Linked DNA regions of Oreochromis niloticus. The protein of the gene in region 2 binds, or shares a complex with, the protein of the main gene of each other region. Links are inferred from orthologs where the notes say so. Each region holds a gene or a part of one and is shown on either strand. Other genes may lie near its edges.

The links. The genes of interacting proteins can lie anywhere in the genome.
Region 1: vps39 (region 2) and vps41 share a complex: the UniProt entries of both Homo sapiens proteins name them as parts of the homotypic fusion and vacuole protein sorting (HOPS) complex. The link is inferred for Oreochromis niloticus from reciprocal best matches to the Homo sapiens genes VPS39 and VPS41.

Annotation. Positions count from the first base shown.
Region 1 is NC_031974.2:15,254,964-15,262,663, reverse strand, and holds the start of vps41 (vacuolar protein sorting-associated protein 41 homolog), read right to left. Parts: upstream 3,018-7,700; 5' UTR 2,847-3,017; coding exon 2,826-2,846; intron 2,540-2,825; coding exon 2,501-2,539; intron 1-2,500. Other genes in the region: pou6f2 (POU domain, class 6, transcription factor 2), read left to right, coding at 3,094-3,141, 4,949-5,046. UniProt on the Homo sapiens protein: Plays a role in vesicle-mediated protein trafficking to lysosomal compartments including the endocytic membrane transport and autophagic pathways. Acts as a component of the HOPS endosomal tethering complex.
Region 2 is NC_031983.2:21,376,322-21,383,158, reverse strand, and holds the start of vps39 (vam6/Vps39-like protein), read right to left. Parts: upstream 3,015-6,837; 5' UTR 2,522-3,014; coding exon 2,449-2,521; intron 2,246-2,448; coding exon 2,180-2,245; intron 2,060-2,179; coding exon 1,995-2,059; intron 1,878-1,994; coding exon 1,835-1,877; intron 1,686-1,834; coding exon 1,591-1,685; intron 458-1,590; coding exon 359-457; intron 251-358; coding exon 158-250; intron 1-157. Other genes in the region: transmembrane protein 87A, read right to left, coding at 5,041-5,082, 5,213-5,243, 5,467-5,519, 5,601-5,665, 6,293-6,369, 6,468-6,571, 6,664-6,722. UniProt on the Homo sapiens protein: Regulator of TGF-beta/activin signaling, inhibiting SMAD3- and activating SMAD2-dependent transcription.

The DNA of each region.
Region 1 (7,700 bases), on a different chromosome or scaffold from region 2:
TACAACTGCCATATATCAACTATCAATTTACAATTAAAAATATGATCTCTGATGGATTATGGCATTCAGAAACGTAGCATTTAGACACAAACTACTGAGCTATACATGTCACACCTGGGCATGTACAGGATAAAATACACAAAGTTAACATTATCATATACCCTAGTTAAGGAAACCTTGTATGTTTCAGTGCTTGCAACAAAATCAGGAGTCTGGTAATCATTTTTTTTCCCATCATTATATTTGCTTGTTTCAGTCCACTTGGTTTGAATTAAAGCCATTTCTTTACAGCTCTGAAACCAATGTTTTCTAACTTTGCTTTGTCCATTTTTTTGCAGGACTGTTCTTGTTTTCAAATAACTGGAGATCATACCTTTATCCTGATCATAGCATTAGTGGCAGCTTTATACTTCCCAGGATCCCAAATTCAGTAATAGACTTGTCAAATTCATACACCATCATTTCCTGTCGGTCTTGCAACCTGCAGTATATTAACAGTGGCTGTCTTGATGCTGTTATCAACAGCTATATTTAACTTAATTGCATTTATGAATTTCAATCCTAGCACGCATGGTGGTGGCACTCACACCAAACTCCTGATTTGCATGGGTCATGTTCAAAGACCTACGTTTATGAAACCAGCATATAACATGCTATAAAAACTTTGCTTAAACTGTTTTCCCAGCTGACATCAGCTTGGTCCTTAGTCCATAAAATTAAAGTGTGTCCATAATGCTGTTTAACAAATTAGCTTTTAGATTTTGGTACTCAAAGTGAACTTCTAGTGTTGAGGTTAAATTATAGAAAATTGCTAAAATGAATTTAATTAATTTGCTTTTTCTTTTCCAAACAGTAGCACAAAGACATCATAAATTATTGACACTTGAGAGTGTGAACGATTATGTTGTTCCCATTAATTCTGGAATTAAAAGACCGCAGTCTAGGCTTACAGATGCGTTGCTTCTGCCTGATTCTGTTCAGTCACTACATGGTGCAGAGATCCTGATTTATTGTGTGCTGTTTACACTGTCTGTGCAATATGTGATGACTGAATAAAACTAAACTAAGCTAAGCTAAAATATGCATTAAACCATTTCATTTGCTTCTAAAGGAGTGGCAGAATCATGTAGAGCACTTAGAGCCTTATAGTGGTCCAGCAAGTTGCTAAAAATACAATGCATGATGTCTTTTCTTCCATTTATTACCCTTCATTCTCTACCTTTTATGTGCTTTTCGGGACCACAAAAGTACATTTTTTGACAGGCTTTTATGGAACTCACCCTTTCGTTTGTCAGCTGCTGGGGTTTCTTTTGATTTGTAACCATTTTTGCCATATTCTCCATCTACTGACAGCTGAGCTAAATGAGACTCCTCGTGTCATCATCTAGCTTAATGTTCAAGGTTCAAGCAAGACTCGCCCATTTGTCTGCTTTTAAGGGGAACGCTGTAGCTGTTAAATCTAACCATGTTAGTTTGTTTGAGGCAGAAAGAGGGGGAAATTGGTGCAATCAGTCGACTAATATGTCGCTTAAATCTATCGTTTTAAGGGTTTGATCCGCTGAGCATACTAAAAAGCACTTACAAATCAGGCTTATTATTGTATTATGTTATTACAAATCAGACTAATCTAACCAAATCATGACGTTGATGAAGAGAATGCCTGTGACTTTCCAGAGCCACTGCTCAGACAAATTGTTACCCTGCTCATCTCTTCTGTTAGTAGAGTGTAGAGCAAACAGCCCCTCGCTGCCTTCATCTAGCGAGGCTGCTGTCAAGCTGGTAACAACAGCAGCCAGCTACAGTATATTGCAATATTGTAAGCAAATAATCACCTGTTTGCAGCAGCCACTCAGAGGAGACTTGCAATCCCACAGTCCAGTGAGTGTTTGTCCATGACTACTGAACACATGGTGCACAGACAGACCACTATTTACAAGTCTGGTTTATTTTCTTGAGAAAAAAAAAAGTAGCTTGAGAAAGGTGCAGGTGTCCAAAATGCAGCATATATCTTATATATGATTCCATCCTCTGCTACCTATGAAGAAAAATTCTCCTTCCTGTCAGCGTGATGTGTAATGTTATATTTTATTCAGCCCATGTGAGATCCTCCGAAGCACAGGTGTACTGTAACATGCCAGAGTTCAGTCATAATATTGATGGATCTGGAAAGCTATATGTAATTCATGAGTGTTTGACACCTCTCAGAACCTGACAAAGATCCTTTAGGGATCAAGCTGTGCTGATAAAGGCTATGTTATGTATTACAGCCCCTTCAGTAGGCAGAGATTTCAAAAAGCATCCAAACCTGACGGAAATATGAACACTTCTGTCACTGACAGTATATTATTGGTGATGCATGTCTACACTGACATACTGGTGCAACTGCATGACACATTCAAGTCCATTTTTTCCTGTTATTATTTTCTAAATATATATCAAAATTTCTTAATATAAATTCATCTTAGATGATCTAAAATGATGAGGTATTTTTGATTCTTACCTCAGACTCATCTGTGGTTTCCTCACTTGGATGACTGACCTAAAAGCAGAAAAATGTTGGGTTGCTTTTAAAAATATATTAATGTTAAAGCATGGTTTCAAAGGCCATGGCTATTTATTTAGACATTAAATACATACCAAACAACTGCAAAGCTAAATTAGCACCTAAAATGTTAGCTTTCCAAGCTAGAGAATGGCTTGATGAGAAGCTAAATCAAATGAAACCACAGCTGACAGCTCTCACAGCCACACTTTGAATGCATTTTTGATGCAAGTGCGTTTAAAACAGAAACATTTAGCTAGCTAGCGTTAGCATTTGAGCTTACCTGCTCCTCCACTTCCGCCATTGTGATATTATTTAGCGATATATCCAAAGGTAACAGCTATAATACTTTAACAAATATTTTAAAAAATATCCGTTAAATCTCCGATAAAGGTTTGTTTCATCTCAGAAACACCCGATTTTGCGTGACAGCAAAGTGATATTTGTTGTCGAAACCTGCTTCCAGTCATGAGCTAAATCACATGACTTCAATTCGAGTATCAAGGCGTTATGGGTAATGAAGTCATTCAGATAGAGAAACGACAACGCGGATGCTCAGACAGAATAAAAGGAGACGATTACTTGAAAAACGATGCCAGGTGACAGTTTATAATGTGTTTTTCGTGGTTTTCGTGGCAAATACTTGTAGCAAGTTTTACTCGGTTTTAACAATCCAAGTGTCTCTTTTCTTAAGTGTCAGACGGAAAACTTGTGAAGAAAATGTCTTTTTTTCAGTTGAAGCTAACAGTCTTGAAACTGCAGCCAAATAACCCGCAGTAAAGCTAGGTATAACCATAAAGCACATCTTCACTGACAACATTAATAGACCAACCTTAAAAATTTGAACGGTCGCCAGATACAATAAATTAACCTGGACTAAAAGTCCTCCAAACTGTCCCCAAGGGGATGATAAAAAGGCTGATTTCTGCTGTCATTAAAAGGTATTCAAATAAGTGGCTAAAAGGAGCCAACTAAATCCACCCCCTTGTATACAGCTGAGTATTTTAATTTGTTGTATTTTATATTAATTGTCTGTAACATATCAGTGGCAAATACTGTAGTTTTTCCCTAGAGGAGAAATTTATATCATTTATAGTAAATATTAAAAATAGTTCAAAACGGTTCCAAACAGCATAAACATGCTACTTTTGCTTAAAGTCCATCAATACTATTACTTATAATTAAGTAGTTTTTACAAAAGTAATGGCTCTGAAGTAATCATGAGTATTATTACAAGAATTATTAGGCAACAGTATTTACTGTACACATTGTCCCCTTTTATATTGATTATTTACTGCCACTAGCCAGATATACAGTAGAATGTGAGGTAAAATACACAAAATTTTCTTCAAATAATTGAGCACTAATTGAATCTATAATCTCAAAATGATAACTTACAGGACTTTAAATTCATTCACAATCTCTCTTTGTCTTAATTGAGACAATTTGAATAAAACGGGACAGACAATCCTCTTTCCAGTACATTTGGAGCTATCACTAACTGAAATGATTAAGACTATTCGATTTAAATATGTGCAGATTTTTCTGAACGTGGTGGCTAAATTAACCCTTCAGCTATTGTTTGAGTCCCCTGGTTTCAGAAGAATATTAAATTATATTTTTGATACTTTAAATTTTACTGCCAAGACTGTATTGAAGATTCAAGACACTTTATTATCATTAAGCAAACATAATGAAATCAGGTAATACTTGCTCAGATGGTGAAAAAACCTTAGATAAAATAAATGTACTGACATAATATAAATATAAAATACAATATTTACTGACAAGCATTAAAGAGTAAAAAGTATTGGGACTTAATATTGCACGGTTGGACTGAACATGAGTTATTTATTTACAGGCTGTGCATCTGTCTGTGTAATGTATATGCCTGAGGGTTGTAATTGTGTGAAGCTGAGCAGTAAAAAAAAGTGCACTTTACATGAGTTATTTTACATATTATAAAATGTACACAGTGAGGTATGTCCCGAGTTATGGGATGTGGAATTGGGTAGTGGAATATTGCACATGAGGGTTGTACATAATTACTGTCACATGGTGTTTAGCAGTGTTACAGCTGTAGGAAAGAAGCTAAATATGTATTTGGATGCATCTTTACTCTTGATGGTAAAGAATATGAATACTTTGTCCACTTGGTAATAAGCAGTAATGGCATCCAGATTGTGCATTATTATGATGAGAAATAGCAGCTAAAAGTATTTATTGTGCCCCTTTTTGAGGTAAAATCTGTGGTAGATTAATATAAAATTAAAAGTACAGTACTTTTCTGAGGTTGTCTCCTATGCCTGCCTTAATAAAGGAAATCCCTGTGCATTCACTAATAAAGCAAACACAGTCAGCAAGACTTCCAGTAATAATTAGGCTATTTGTTTTATATATTTGCAGACTTCTCTGAACATGGTGGCTTCGGATATTGGTCGACTCGCCTGGTCCTCCGTCACTCTGCTGACAGCTGCTTGCCTGAGTCCAGATGAATGCCAAAGGTATGATTTGCCTCTTCTTTATTGAGATTGTCTCACACCCCTGTCTTGCCTCATCCATCCTCAGGAGAATCCTAATGCACTGATACCAAGGGGGAATAATTTTTTTTTTCTTTACAATCTGCTTAGCAATGATTTATTGATTGCGGCTTCCACCCTCACAGAGAATTACCGATCCTTTTTGGGAAATCAGATTTTCACACCTTTCATGAGTGTGTATGTGGCGCAGGTCTCCAGAGACAGTGTGAGGGGAAACTGACTTTGAGGAGCAGCAGTGTGTGAATCTCTGCGGTGTCGCTCCTCTGCTGCTGCCAGTGGTACGCCCAACGGATGGCCCTGTGATTCTCTGCTTCTCTCTCCATCTCTCTCTCTATAGTTTTGCATTATTTATCGCTCGATAAATACAGTATCCAAGCTTGATTTGTTTTCATTCCCTTTCAAACCTCCAAAACATATGCTTTGCCCGCTCTCCCATCATAAACATGCAAGAGCCCCGTCTAAAGTTTAAGCACCTCATGGACAAAAAAGGAAAATAATAAAAACAACCCTCGCCCTCATAGGAGGAGTCAGATTAGTGCACCGAAAGCTTTGATGCTCCAGAATGTCAGCTCGGTGGATCGATCCAGCAGAAAACACACACACACACACACACACCTGACCAATCAGAGGCGTCTATCTGTTGTGGACCTGCTGGGCACCGTGGTTTACAAGCTTCAAAGAGCTCCTTTTAATACACTGCTTTGATAGCCCTCAGCCTTCACTGACCCGCCGACCGTCCGCTGGGGAGCGTTTTAGCTTTAGTGGAGGAGAGAGGGATAACTGTTGATCATATTAACGAGCGTGAAAAGAAAAATCATCTCAAGTCTCGGATATTTACACCCCTGACCCCACGAGTCCCAATAACAGTCTGTTAGATCAGCTGCAGATAAAATAATACAAATTGGCTGCATTTTTCCAAGAGTAATTTAACACTATTAACAGCACTTGTTGAGATTTAGATGCACAAAGGCATGAAGTGGAAGCATAGACAGAAGAACAGTTTGGTTAATAACCCTAAGGGGGAGACAAATCATCACCTAACAAACCACATTACACATCTCCGTATGCTCGGTCATCACAGCGCATCCACATATTCATAAAATATATAATGATTGCTTCAAAAAGTGTTGATACATTATTTCTATGTAGACATATGTTTCATTTAAGGTGGAAAATAAAATGATTTACAAAATGTTAAAGAAACCTTATTTTAATCTTAAAGCAAATGAATAATTGCTGATATCAGGTGTTATTAATCTCAGCGTATGTGTCTGTTTGCATTACACAGGTCATTTCAGGTCCCAAAAAAATCAGATAATTAAAGTATTTACGTGCCTTTTAGGTCAGTCATAGCAGCAAATGAAGCTGTTGTGTGTGATTTCTCAGAGAACGGAGAACATTTGTCACCTCGGAAAGTCATGTTAACTGACAGAGCGAGCTGATGGTTTGACGTTACATTAATGTTTAAGGACAAAGAAAGCATGAAAGAGAATTTTGTCTTTCGGGTAGATTATAAACCTCATTCTGTCGTGCGTTTTTCAGAGCAGGCTGGTGTGCTGCAGCCTGTCCCAGGTTGAAATCACCCTACATATGTCTCCAGTATGTTGGAGATCATTTGAAGCTATTGAACTGTGCTTTAATTCCACACCTAATACTTACTCTAAACATGTTTTAACCTCTTGAATATTCTTCGTAATGCTGCTCAATAAACTGTTTTATAATTTGTTAAGTAGTGTGTGCCCATTGTTCAAACATAATATTTAGATTTTATACTTTTCTGGTTCGACTAATCCCAAATAACTAGGAGAAATTAAAAATGCATCCCAAACAAGAGCTTGGGTCTCAGGAGGTTAAATATTTATATATGTACAAAATTAACCATAGTTGTTAAAGATTCAGCAGACTGTGTGGTTCTTTTGCACTTTTCTTCCACAATGCAACTTTAAAAAAAACAAAGGAGCTTCAGAAGATTACAGAATATTTCATTATTTAATTTCAGTCTCACTTCATAAGGCTGGTTTTGTGAGAGAAAAGTTTGTTTTGGGACATATGGCTGCCACTAATGATCATTTTCATTATCAGTTTATCTCTAATATCTCTAAATTATTTCCTTTAATATTAAAATAATCATTAATTGCAAGGAAATACTGAGTGGTCCCACAGTGGGGTATATTACACGTTCACCTAATAAGTGAAAGAGACCCAGTTTGATCCCAGGAGGAGACACAAACCTCTTTGGGGTTGTGACAGGAAGAGCATCCGGCGTAAAAAGGAGCTACCTGCTGTGGTGACCTCTAGCTTTTTGAATACATGCACATGTTGAACATTTGAAATGTCTCACAATCTGTGTATAGCAAACAAAAGGATAAAATTCTTACATTTAAAAAGTCTGATCAGCAAATTTTTGCTGAACTAATCAAACTAGAACAGCTGCTTTTCAAATGGACTTTCTACCTTTGTTTATGTCGTTACATAGTAACTATGTAACATCTTTTTGTTCAGTTTTAATTTTACACTATTTCTGTTTCTGAAACATCTTCATTTGTTGCTTTTTCCCCCTGTTGATAAGAAAGTAATGCGGTTTTGGAGTCACATATAATTTGGTATACTTTAAAACT
Region 2 (6,837 bases):
AAAGGTTTCTGTGGATATTTCTTTTCTTTTGACAAGGAGTTTTTCCACACTTAAAAAGACACATTATGGCTGGAAATATCATTTTAAGTTATAAACGCATAAGCGCATAAGTTGAAAAGTAAAGAAGCTGCTTGCACCCCTTTTCTGTAACACATACCCGAATGAGGTAATAGTCTCTCTTGAAACCAACACATATCGAGTTTTCACACCAAGCCATTGACTTTGGAATATCTGGTGCAGCAAAGTCCCCCTGACAGACGAAACGAAAACATTAAAGTGGCTAAATGTGTCAAAGCACTGGAAAATACTGTTAAACTTGAATCACACTATAGTGAGTCACATGTCCAGTATACATTACCTGCAGCTCATGAAACTCTCTGTCCTTCCAGTAATACAGCTGGAGTTTCTTTTTCACTGCAACACACATTCTCAGCTGTTCCTCCCCTGAGCTGGTTTGCTGAGGACAAAATATACACTTCGTGAGAGGAAATGTGAGGCTAAATGTGTGTCCAGCACAGATGAACAAACAAGACAAAATATTGCAGCTACTGTATAAAAAAAACTAAGAAAATGTTCAGGGTTTTTACATATTTAGCACAATTAAATACAAATTGTGTTCATGTCACTTCTCCATATGTATGATACTTTACTGTTTTCAAGACACCCACTGTTGTCTTAAATCAGATGACACACGCAGACTTGAACTAAGAAATCACATTGCTTTTTTTCTGTTGTTAAGTGTTGAAAGAGAAATTGAAATTTAAAATGTCATGTTAGTAAGCAGCACCATGGTAAACCTCAGATTTACTTCCCGTATTGATGCCATCAGATGAAAGGCAATGAAATCCAGAGGATTATAATTACCTTGGTCCTCGATTTGCTTCTGTAAAGTTTGTGAGTTGTGTGAAAAAACATTCAAAAGGCTACTAAAAACAGTGAGAAGTAGGATGAATGGTCGAGGCATGTTTAGTTTGATTTTGTTTTGCTTGTAAGCCATTATACTCTAATTTCCCCAGCCACAAATAACTCCAGACTTAGAATTTAGTTCACTTTTGTCTTAAACGGTTCACAAACTTGCAGCTGTATGTCTATCAGTATACACAACTATTCAGGTGAAAACTGTTTTCACTTTCATTTGTAATGGGAAGCAATGTGTGCATGAATATGACTGCAGTAACAATACCACTACTAGAAGGAGAACTGGATACCGGACTAAAAGAAACCACCAGCTCACATCAACAAAAAACGTGTTTGACTGCAAGACCAAAAAAGGTTAAAGACTAGCTTCCAAGTCTTTATTCTGCTTTAGCCCCCTACATTTCCCTAGGAGGTTGCTGCTCTGTTGTCCACATAGTTAAGACATCATGGGAAAAACCTCAAATGTTTTTTTTTTTTTTTTTTTTTAAAGAGAAGAACCTAATCCTGTTTGAAGCTGGAAGTCCTGTCTGCCTCTGTTCTAGAATTATAGTCCAGTTTTTTTTTTAAATGCAATACCACAAGTCACCACTGGGGAAAATTGACAGCTTATAGGTCTTATCTTCCCTCTCTTACCACATGCTGAGTTGCAGAAAACAGGGGTCTATTACTGACCTGCAAGTCACATGCAAAGAGTGTGGCTCCTTTGGCTTTGGATACCACAGTGATCTGCTGGAAGGTCAGGAGGTCATGGACATGGATGTTGTTCTCTGTGGGGATATTTAAATCGGTTTGTTTAGTTGTCATGATAATCAAGAACTGATATTAGTTTGAAGCCTTTACAAGCCCAAGGTTCCCCCAATTTTTGCTTTACATGACATTTTAACTCTGTAAAAATATATTGCTGAGAGAAACTTACCCAGGAGACTGACAAGAATTTTGTACTGTGAGACAACATAAAGCTGGAGAAAAAAAACACAGTTAAAGAGATAAACACACATAAGCTGGTCAACAAACAGAGGCAAACAATTTTAATTAAGATCTAAATTTGCGGTTAAGCGACTAAAAAAGTCAGATACCTGCTGAATCTTCTTTGAGAAGTTCTTGTTGGATTTTTCCAGTGTGACCTCAAACCGGTTGCCTCCTAAGATAAAAAAAGAAATGTGTTCATCAGAATTACTTAAACTGGTATTTGAAGCGTGCAACAGAAAGGTAAACCGGTCTCCAAATGGATAAGGAACCACATCCCCTTTGGTCCCCATACCTGCATCCTTCTTTATTCGGTACAGAAGGAGATGGCCTGGTTTTGTTCCTACAAGCAGCCAGTCCTCTGTAAGGAAGTCGGTACAAAAGATGCGGTCAGTTAATTTCAGACATAACATTTTCACATAAGTCTGAGATGTTACCTGCGTTCAGTGGTGAAAAAACTCATGACTTCTTGACAACTTAAGACTGCAGTTCGATAAACAGGGGTACTATTTCAGTGTCACAAAATTAAAGAGTAACCGTGGGACCAAAGTGTTAACAACTCACCCCAGGCCGCAAGGCAGTCAATTTGAAGAGGAAGCTTTTCCAGAATAGGTACAGGCTCATATGCGTCGTGCATCTTGAAGCAATGCTGCTAATTCAATCTCACACACCCCTCTGATATATCAATCCCACACGGGGCTGACGCCTAATCGCTGATAAATCTGTCAGGGGGTACAGCTTTACATGTCGCCATAAACTAACACAGTTCAGTTTTGCTTTTTCGGAATAGCCAATACGGAGAACTGATTTGGTAATGCAATGCAGTTTGGCTTGTTAGCCACCTTCCTCCCTGACCAAAACAACAGCTGATCGTTAGCCTTTAAGCTAAGAAGTGAGCAACTATCGGTTCCCTCTCACTGCAACTGAAATCTGAGCGAAGACTGTAAGTTAACGACCAGCGCAACTGCAATTAACCTAAAACGTTTAACCACAAACGCTATATAAACCACAGCAATTAGTTTTCGTTAGCCATGTAGCTTCCTGCTACTTCCTTAGTTGTTTTGAACACGGCTGCGCGAGCTGCTGGGGTTTGACAGGCACGTGACTGAAGTATGTGAGCTCACGAGGAACGCATTAAAGGCGCAGTGGCTTGTATTAAACGGTGAGTTGAACGGTTATTTTGCACCGAGGTTTCGTACCAAAAGAAAATCAGTATTTATGACACAAATACTTAAATATTTTATAAATTTAGATTTCCAGGATTTAAAGGACACTCCCACTTGTTTTTTAAATAAAATATTCTAGAAAAGAACGCGTTTAAATATTGTAATTGTGATATATATTTAAACATGTCTTTTAGAAAAACAAAATAATTCTAAGTTTATACAAAACTTACGTTTTAACCATCTTTCAATAGAAATTTATTTGCAGGACATACGCAAAAAGCCATACAATATTATCAGCTTCACAATACAATGCAGACTCAAATCCAGACACAGGGTTTTAGTGTCTCTCTGAAATAAAATATTGTCAACAAGATTTAGACAAATAGAAAAAAAACAAAAACAAAAAACAAACATAGTTCAGAGCTTTAAAATTATCCACATATACTGCAGTAGATCAAACAAGTATGAGGAATTATTTCAGATAAGGCTATTTTTGAGCGTAGCTGGGAAAGGGTCAGAGAAATCTGTAATAATGGTGAACTGATACTCCCCTGTGCTACTAAAGTCAACAGAGAACCTAAATAAAACTCCGGACCTGTTGGTGGAGGGCGTCGGAGAGCACATTTTATAGACACACTAAATTACATGTATATTTTTCAGCTATTCAGGTTCGTTATTCAGTGGCTAGAAAAAAGTGTTCACTTTGGTGACTGCAATATCTAGTGTTTCTAGATCTATTATATGAAATCAAAACTATAAAAAAACGTTACTTTTCATAAAAATTAAAATAAAGCAGGCTTAATTTTACTACTAATGCTTACAAACAGGATTTTCTTTTACTTTTTCTACGCTTATCAACCAATTAAATATAGTCAAATTTGAACTCGCTTAAACTGATCAGTGTGTGGATGACATCCTGAAGAAATGATCTGCATGTGTCTACAAAATGAACACGCCTCACACGGTTTTATGACAGTTAATTCTTTGCATTGATATAGCTCCATAACTATCATTAAATGTTCCCAGATCAGCAGATGTGGCTTATTTTCTGGACGACGGTGATATCCTTCAAGTATCAACATGACAGATGTTAACAGTGGCTTAACTATTTTGATATTCAAAATGACCCAGTTAGCCAGACACTACAGTAATAATGTGTTAACAATTAAACACACATATTTGTTGGTTAAGCATTAAAACATTTGCTTTTAGCTGTCTGGCTAAATGGCTAATTGTACAATAGAGTTACTTGCACATTTAAATATTAAATCGTGTGATCAAATAAATATGTAATGTAACAAAGTATCTTTTTAATATATATGGCACAGCACTGAAGATAAGCTATTGTTCATTAAGATGCTACAATGTCTTAAATATAATCCTATTATGAAACTACTTTGATCTTTTCAGTTATTCATTATCTTCCGTTTGTAGCATCATCCGATATCTTGGCTGTGATGATGGCCAGGCATCACGAGTCATACCTGACTGTGTTCCAAAAAGGACCTCACATTCCTACAACTCTGACCCGTCAGGAGTTATCTGTGCAGTCTGAAGTGGGTGGAGCTTTTGTCAAATATTTTGATCATCTATCCCTTGCACTGGATATCACATGTTTCATTAAATAATTATAATAGTCCTAAAAAAAAAAAAAAAAAAAACAGAAACAGAACATTTCTGCTTCTCCTTCATTTTGTTCAACAAATAAAATAGTTATAAATATAAATGCTATACTATATAACTGCTTCTTGTATTTTATCCCAGAATAATCCCAGAATGCCATCAGCAGCCGACCCAGTCACTTCAGGTTGCACAGTATGGCGTTAATATAAGAGTTTATTATAGTGTTACCCAAAAACCTGTGAAATAAAAGTTTTGTTAAAAAGTGTCTGAAGAAAGAACAGATATCCATCCCCCCAACATTTTTGGTAATCAGATCACTCATTGCTGCCTCAGTTGAATTCCTCTATTTTCATTCTCAGATCGTCTTCTACTCCATTTTGGACCTCTCCATCTTGGTTTTCAGGATTTCCTGGGAAAAAAAGCAAAAAACAGCAGTGTGGTTGTTAAATGATGACACAGTGAAAGGTCAGGACTTTAAATAGATTAAAGTGTGAGTAGAATCATGGGACTCGCATGTGTAAAGTAAAAAGGCTCCTTACTTCTTCCTCATCTAGCATTACAGGGAGAGCTCTGTATGGAGGGGGGAAAGAAAAAAAACAGAGAAAGAGGTCACGGATATACCACGCACATCAGGAGTAAGTCAAACACTATGAATATGGCTTGAATAACAACAATATAGTACTTTTCTATCCTGGGCTGCCCGTAAAAAACTTCCTCTTTAAAGTCATCGCCATATTTCCATCCAAATTTCATTTAGTGTAGCAGTTTTTCACCAAAATAAAGGTTTACTTACACATCAGCAACAGTAGTAGGAATGTTCTCCTCAACCCATTTTAGATCTTCATCCTGACAAAAAGCAGTTTTGAAACACAGAATTAAGTAAACATGGCAATAATGCAGAAGAGAAAATGTCAGAAGTCAGCCTACCTCTTTACTCAACATTTTCTGGGAGCCGTTAATGTCAGGTTTCGCGCCTCTCATCTTCATTCCCTCTGAAAAATCAAGAAAAGGCAGCTGAAATCATTTACTCTGACACTATTAAATGATTATAAATTTATCAATTAACGCCTATACAAACAGACTGAGAATGTGTCACTGGGTTAAACAAAAGCTCAGACAGAAGGTTGTCAGTAAAGGATGTGAGGAAAATTGTGATTATTTGGGATTATTAGAGCATACAACAGAAGATACAAACCACTTGAAAACATTTCTGTGACCTCTGTCGTTTTATATCTTTGTGTTATACTAGCTCACTGTCCTGAATTCTACACTTAAACACTGTTACTATAAGAGAAAAACCATCCTGTTAGTGGAACCTAAACAAAACTGATCAAAATTTAAAGAATCAGCTGGCATGTGATATGGCACAAGATGACAAGCCGGCAGGAGACTAGAACTACATGTTATGGCAACTAATACTGTTTTACACAACCAAGCTTATCAAAAGCTGTTTTACCTTTTCTCCCAACACACAGCACTAGAGTTAAATAAAATCAAAATTTTTCTAAGCAACTTAACTATGTAACACAAATGAGCAATCAGTGTCTTTTTCAAACACTGTTTAATATGGCAAATACTTGTCTGGGGCTTTAAATGACAAGAGGAGTGAAATGTCGTACCAAAAGCTTCGTTCAGCATGGGCTCCTTTGCTTCGTCCTCTTCATCATCATCATCAATCAGAGGGGAATGGGAGAACCTGAAAGGAAACACCACATAGGTTGAAATCTTTATGAATCGTGTTAACCACGAGCTTACACAAAGGTACTTTGGCCCAAACTCCATACTGACGCTGACCTCTGATTGTTGGCTGAGGGCCGCAGCAGCACCATGATGACCAGAAGAATAGTGGAGAAGAGCAGGCGCCAGAACGCATCATCTACCCACAAGTCCCTCCAACCCTGCAGAAAGGACAAGGACAGATTTCAGAGGAAAAGCAGTGAAATCCAGTACAAGATAAATATAACTCAGCCAAAAGAGAAAACAAACTGACCCTCTGACAGTCGACCAACTTGAAGACCTTGGTGGTCCAGATGATAAATATGATAGAAGCTGTGGACACAAAATAAACACCAAGGATTTTGATGACTGCAAACAAAATACACGTGTTTCGCAGAAACTACAGCACACAAACAACAAACTGACCTGAAGGTAATTCTAGCCACAG